Drosophila melanogaster: one gene and its partner. The protein of the gene in region 2 purifies or fractionates together with the protein of the main gene of each other region. This does not show direct contact. Each region holds a gene or a part of one and is shown on either strand. Other genes may lie near its edges.

Region 1 (3,755 bases), on a different chromosome or scaffold from region 2:
GCACGGTGAACTTGGGAGTCTTGCCGATGACCCAGTCCCAAGAGCTGTAGTTGGAGCGCAATTCCTCAATGCCGGGGAACCATTTCTCTGTGGGATTGACCAGCTGAAAGCCGCGCTGCTGCATCGTCTGTGTGCTGCCGCCGTCTTCAAGCGTAGTTGCAGCCGTTCTCAAATACTCGTAACCCACGGCGGAACGCAGCTGAGCAACGTTCACCGTGCGATTGACATCAACCAGGTTGCGAATGGGCGACGGCACCGAAGCCGTGGCCTTGCTAATATAATTGGCCGGCTCCCGCACCAGAGATTCGCCCAAGTGCAATTTGTTGGCGCTGGCCAAAATGGTGCAGTGATGGTACGAGTTCGGGTGTCCCAGCTTGGCCGCAGTGCCGGAAATCTGTAATTGAACAAGGGCATACTCGTTGAGTGGGCAAATAAAGACCAGATGCACAGCCCCAGCTGTTGGTTAAGTGAGCTGATGCCAATGTGAGGGATCAGCCGGGGTCGCATCATTCCTTGATAAGAGCCACCGCTCCTCCTCACCTTCTTATTCATCACTACAATGTCGTCGCGCTCATTTATCTCTGCCTTGATGGCCCATTCGCGGAACAAGGCCCTGGTCACGATGTTCAGGTTGTACTTGCGATCGTAGCGCTCTCTGGGCGAGAAAAAGGTGCAGTTGAGGTTCCCAAGATCATGGTACACCGCTCCACCGCCACTATTGCGGCGTGCAAGTGTTATGCCGCGTTCCACCAGCTGCGAAACATTAGCCTCGGTGAAGGGATTCTGGTGGCGACCAATGACTACGCACGGGTCGTTGGCCCACAGCAGCAGCACATGGTGGCGGCTGAAATCAAAGTTTTTGTACAGCCAATCCTCTAGAGCGAGGTTGGTGAACACATCGCTGGACTGCGAGATGAACACGGACTTCTTGATCTCCGAATCGGGAACCACGGGCGGTGGCTGGCGCCTCTGCTTTTTAATCTCCTGCTGTCCAGCAGATGGTGGCTCCACTCCGCTGGATGCCAGGCGCGTGGCCTGAGCGGCGGAGGAGAGAAGTAGCCGCAGCTGGCTGGAATTGCGTCGCAACAGCATGCTCATGGCTTACACAAGGAAGTGGGGCGTACGGGTGTGTGTGATTTCTGTTGCCAGGTGATCTGGGACACAATGCACTTGCAAGCGAAACAAGGTCAATGGTGTCGAAAAAAGCTTTTGGCTGGTTGATTGGTTGGTTGGTTGGTTGGTTTCTACGGTTGTCGTCTGCCTGGTTCTGTGTGGTCCGTGTGTGCTCTTCTTTAGGTTATGTATGGTCTACTATCTACGCTATTCGTTTTGGTCTTTAAATGGCTTTGGTCGCTCTGGACTTTAGACTGTGGCGTTCTTAGTGGCTCGGGATGTGTTTGCAGCCACGGAGCTGGCCGAGATGAGGTATTCGTGCAGGGCGGGCGTCTGATGCAGCCACTTCCACGTTTGATGCAGACCACAGACACGCTTACGGAGACCCAGGCAGTCCTTGTTGGCACAGTTCACTGGCATACTACGCCTCACACCCATCCAGGTGGGGGATACAACGAATCCGGTGTTTACGGGGGGCCGCAACGTTACGGGGCCCAAATAAGATGGCTAAAGGGTTTCCTTTTTAGCTGACACCAAAATTTTCCACTCTTTGTTCGCGGCGCACGGGAACTGCGGGGGGCGGGGGCAAGGCGGATGATCGCAGTGGGCGGGGGTAGCAGTTATAGCACAAACAAACGAACGAACACAGAGCCGATCGAAAAGCAGCTGCGCGTGTGGAAATATCACGACCGATTGGCTTTCGTTTCAGATGAGCAGTGGTGCTCGCTGCTCTTGTTCTTCCTCGACGGTCCCCAAATGCCATTCGCAGCGAACGACGAAAGCTCCGGTCATTAAAAAAAAAAAAAAACAACGGCACTCTGGCGCCGCACTTAATTTATTTTCATCTTTTTAATTCGAACTTGTATAATTTACGCTAAACATGTGTGATAATCCGAGACGTCTACAACAGATGTGACATTAATATGTGTTATATTTTATAAGCAGCATACTTTGAGAGCCCCTTCAGTTTGGAATACCCCCATTATTAATGTAAGCCGCCTCTTCGGGATCAATTGGCTTGCGGGCAAATCGTGCCGGCAGCTCGTAGTCCTCAATTGCTGGTCCACCGGCCAACTAAATGTAGAAGGGACAATTACGAAGATTAGTTATGATGCACAGAAGAAGCCGTGGTATTGTGTATAAATGAAATGGGCTGGGTTAACCTTTTTGCCTCCTGCGGCCTGGGAACTTGCCTTCTGGTTTGCTGTCTGGGCGCCCGGCACTCCTGCACCACCCTTGCGGAAGTGTATGAGCGGTACGCGCTTAGCCAGCGCAACTAGTGTTGGTCGAACCATAGCAACAGCAATTGAATTTCTACCAAAAAGCCAAGGCAAAAGTAAAAGTTACGTGAATAACAGCTGACTGTAAACTCATACAAGCGCTGCCAGATCGTTAAAATTGCATGCCATTCGCCGCGCAATGGATTATTATCGTTATTGAAATTTACGTGATCCTGTGAATGGCTAAGGCAGATAAGAGGAAGCGCAAAAAACTATTTTGGTCCAAATCGGTAATATTTTTATATTTAAAATGAATTGGGGACAGAAGATAACCGGCAGCCGACGGCCCTAACTTCTGGACGGACATCGCCAGTATATGGATTGCTCCTAAAACTAGCAAACCAACGTACTTATGCTCTATGCAACAATAAATGTCATATGAAAACAAACTATTGAAGACGTTTTTATGAGTATAACCGGTAACTATTTCATTTGTTTATTATATTAATGACAAATAAACTTATACGTAAACATTCCTTTGATAGATTTTCATGTGTATATCCTTCTCTGTGCAGAAAAACGAAATTAAAGTAACATCTCGGATACTTTCGCAGCAATTGTATAAGCCATACAAATATGAACGCTGCTGGAGGAGGTAGTGGTGCCCAGGCGGCCGCAGTGGCGGCAGGCAACAACAGTCTCAGCCACAATGCGCTACTTTCCACGGCCTCAGGAGCCACCACCATGCCTATGGCCCAACTGGCAGACGGTTGGTTGGAGCTGGAGTCCGACCCAGGTCTCTTCACACTGCTTCTCAAGGATTTTGGATGTAATCTATTTGAATATGCCTTGTTCCACACATCCTATTAAAATATGTACTATCCTTAGGTCACGATGTACAGGTGGAGGAGGTGTACGACCTACAGAAACCCATCGAGAGTCCATATGGCTTCATATTTCTCTTCCGCTGGATCGAAGAGCGACGCGCCAGACGCAAAATTGTGGAGACAACTGCTGAGATATTCGTCAAGGATGAGGAGGCCATTTCCAGCATTTTCTTCGCCCAGCAGGTAGTCCCCAATAGCTGTGCCACACACGCGTTGCTTTCGGTGCTCCTGAACTGCAACGAGAACAATCTTCAGCTGGGCGACACCCTGAGTCGACTAAAAACCCACACCAAAGGCATGAGTCCGGAGAACAAGGGGCTGGCTATTGGCAACACTCCGGAGCTGGCCTGTGCCCATAACTCACACGCAATGCCGCAGGCTCGGCGCCGTCTAGAAAGGACGGGAGCGGGCGTCTCAAGTTGCCGCTTCACGGGTGAGGCGTTTCACTTCGTTAGCTTTGTGCCTATCAATGGACAACTGTTTGAGCTGGATGGCTTGAAACCGTATCCCATGAATCACGGCGGTTGGGAGGATA
Region 2 (3,755 bases):
ATTCCCTTTACATGTATCATTTTAAAGATATTTCATTCTCCAGTTTAGGATTTCACCTTGGATAAGCATAGGAACAATCCCAAAAAAAAAACCCTTCAAGGTCCTTTTTTGGAAGGGAACAACAAGGTCGAATATCCGGATGACCCAGTGACCAGGCGACAAACTGGTCACCGGGTGACCGAGTGCGATGCCGCAACTATCCTACCGCGTCCACTGACATTGAAAGCCACTAATTTATTTGTTTATCAGCCAGCTGAGACGGAGAGTGAGGCAGAAGCATCTAGACCAGCATTATCATTACAATTACCTCAAGAGAATCGTGTAAAATTTAGCTCTTACAACTGAGATCGCAGCTCTCTTAAGCGCCAGGCGGCACATGGCGTGAAAAATGCCCAAGAAAACTTGATTTTTCTCTTATCAGCGCAGTGGTTGTGATGTAGCTAATTTAGATATTGCATCAGCCAGGATTACATGGGTGTCAGATCAAGTGTGTGTGTGTTTTTTTTTTGTTTGTGCCCAGCTCAAATCTGTTTTGCACAATCGTCTAAGCACACAGCCATGTAACTCAGCCAAATTCAAATCTAAATCCAATTCCCAGCAGCCTTATCAGTTGGGAAACTACGGGCTGGAAAAAACAGGGAAATAAAAAACGTGCACGTCATGTTTTCCACATTTCCCATCCAATATTTTTGCGTGGTAAAAAAAGAACAAGAAGTTCGGCAGGTAGCAGGAAGTGAGGGAGGAAGTATTCAATATACTGATACCATATGTGCGTCGTAAAAAAACCTAAATTTCCAGGCCATAATCTATTAGGATGCTACTCAAAAATATCTACTTCAATATCTAATATCTTTAAAAAGTAACTAACTTACTATTATTTGTAAACTTACGATCTAAAAGCAGTTTAAATGGGCCAAAACAAATATAAGCTTTAGAATTAGTTTCTTTAAGTCTAAAATTGTCAAAAAATGTATTACTTAAATTCACATATCTCAAACTTATGTTCTTCGGACACAAATCCAAGTATGTATATAGTATATTTACTATATAATATAGACATCCCATTGTAGCTATTTCATTGTGTACTCACTTTTAATGGAAAAGTACACACGTTGGGGTAACGCAAACAAAGAACTAGAATCCGAAGAGAAGCCAAACTCAACTTGGCGGAGCAAAAATGTCAAAAAAGCTGACAAATTTAGCAAAAATAATTGCCCGAAATTGTCGAAGCAAAAAAAGCGACGCCAGAAGGAGAAGGCAGCTAAAAAACGAGAAATAAAAAAACAAAACCCATGATGTCGGCCGAAATCGCCGATCGCTGCGCCCAAATAAGTACGCAGCCCATGGGGGGTATACATGGGCTTCACGCCCCCTCCCCTCCCCGCTCACCACTCACCACCCAGCAACATAGCCCCCCCTTTTAGCGGGGGCAGAAACAACAAGTTGAGCCGACCGATCGATCGTATGAAACCCGAAATGCCGAAAAACAGCAAGAGATTCGCTAAGGGAGCCAAAAAAAATCATTCGATTTTCGGCATCTTAAGTTTTTGCTACACTGATAAAAACCAGATTCAATGCATATAAATATTATCAGTTGCTTTAATGGGCTTACCTCACAGAATGCTCACCTACTTGTGTTGCCATTAAAAAGTAAGACTTAGTTATAAACAAATACGTTAATTAAATCGTTTGCAATTAAAAACAATGATGTTTATTGACTTTTTGCATATTTCAATTTTATTTATATTCATATATTTATTATTTTTACAGGTAATAGATTATTGCAAAAACTTCACCTTTTCATTTTTTTTTTTTTTGCTTGACATTTGCCCGCACATAATATATTTTAGAGATGGTTTAGCTGACAATCATTGGCTGCAATCTCAATATATAATTCTTTGCAAGTAAATAATTCCATTCAACATATATGCACACTTCTTATCGCAGTGTATGCTCTCTTGCGCTCTCTTAGCGGCCATTCCTGTGCAATTCTCTTAAAATGGCGCTCGAACGGTAATCGTACGATTCGTTCACACACACATGCGCACCGCGGATCGGCTATATATATTACCATAACGGCGGCGAGAGCTCATTTCTTGCAGAGACTTCGTGCCGTGAAGATCGAACTGAGAAAAGAAAAAGAGCAGAAGCAGAAGGGCTGTAGAAAGAAAAAAAGAAAGTAAATCCATACACCGAAATAAAACACAACTGCGTGCTTTAAGAATTTTTTTTTTACTGTGCAAAGTGCAGCAGTTCCTTGCTCATTAAACTAGAACCAAGAAATACAATATTTAACGCGTCAGTTCGCGTAAGTGCGGCAAAGTGCGAGTGCAAGAGACGCTAAACGAGCGATACAAAAAAAAAAAAAAACGGAAATTTCGTAGAGCAGCAAAGCGAGTCCAAATCCAAAAGTTTCTGAAAGTAACGAGACAGAAGATTTCGCAGCCAAATTCAACAAGATGACGACCAAAATGGCAATTAACGCAAAGGTTTGTAATCAAAAGTCAAGCAAAAAGCGATCATTATCATCTCACAATCTCAGGCGGCGACAAGAAATAAAAATTTTAATAGGCTAGCAACAGGCCGAAATCGGAATTATTACCCTGATTTGTTTATCAATCCAAAAAGGCAGAAAGTTATAACGAATCTAAGCAAAAATCACTATTGCATATCAAGTAACTATTGCAAAGAATCGGTTATTTTTAATGTTATTTTTTAGATTCGAAAATCTTTCTTTGTTTCCAAACTATGCCAGTTTGAAAGTGGTTGTCCAAAAATAGAAATCCATTTGAGTTATAAGCAAATATTTGGGGACTAAAAAAGTTTTGATGCTTCGAGATCCGGTAGATGGATTATCTACACACTTTTTTTTTTATAGGTAGACTATTTTCGAACAACCTGACACGCTCCCAGCGCTCCAGACCACTTATGTATAAATAGAATAGAGCCCATTAATACTTTATTTTGGACATTTATGGCCTGTTCTTATCGCTTCCCATACCGCTTCGCACCAAAAAAGAAAAAAAACAGCGATAAGTACTATGGGCAGTCAGACTTATAGACGACATATTCGTTTCATTTGTTTTTCGATTTTCGAACGAGTTTTTGAACGCGCATGTTTGCTAGTTTTTCGAGTAGTTTAAATCAACATTTTTGGCTGATGCAATGGCGACCATGGATGTCAACTTGGCGTTTTTCTTTTGGCTGTCAGCTTTTTGGCTTAGTCGCCAGTTTGGCCGATTTCATCAGCCATCTGAAATGTAATCAAATAAAATATGCTACCGAAGATTAGGTTCGGAATCTAAGCAGAGCCGGAATCAAATCTAAACCGCTGACTTCTCGTCTGACCTGCAATTTAGACTATATGGGGTTACATCAGTCCAAGCCAAACGCCGCAAAACGAGACTTTGTCTGCCTTGCAAATTGAGTATTAATTAGTGTGCAAATCATTTTCGGCAAATCAACGATTTCGGCTAGGGTCTAGACCCAAATTAACATACGTACATACAATCATCGATGAGCGATGTGGATTTAATTAACGCTTTTATTGACAAGAACATAGTTATAGTTCTGCAAGGAAAGTCAAATAAGTCTAGTTGTTTTTGATAGTTTTCGGTATAAAACTATATACTCAGAGATGCAAGGTGCCATTAACTACACTTCTTTACAATTCGGGAATTGGGATTAAATAGGGTCAAGGTTCTTGCTCTTCAAGAGCTGTCAGCAGAGCATGATCAAATCGACTTATGTGTTCA

What was found. The genes of interacting proteins can lie anywhere in the genome.
Region 1: the proteins of Bcat (region 2) and Lipt1 purify together in Drosophila melanogaster (affinity purification with mass spectrometry, with the first as the bait; one large-scale study listed by BioGRID). This does not show direct contact.

Annotation. Positions count from the first base shown.
Region 1 is NT_033778.4:16,195,124-16,198,878, reverse strand, and holds the start of Lipt1 (lipoyltransferase 1), read right to left. Parts: upstream 1,838-3,755; 5' UTR 1,552-1,837; coding exon of another isoform or gene 1,363-1,551; 5' UTR 1,099-1,362; coding exon 541-1,098; intron 395-540; coding exon 1-394. Other genes in the region: CG42837 (uncharacterized protein), read right to left, coding at 1,363-1,551; CG44242 (uncharacterized protein), read right to left, coding at 2,077-2,187, 2,277-2,408; caly (calypso), read left to right, coding at 2,970-3,162, 3,222-3,755.
Region 2 is NC_004354.4:13,394,812-13,398,566, forward strand, and holds the start of Bcat (branched chain amino acid transaminase), read left to right. Parts: upstream 1-2,087; 5' UTR 2,088-2,459; coding exon 2,460-2,489; intron 2,490-3,755.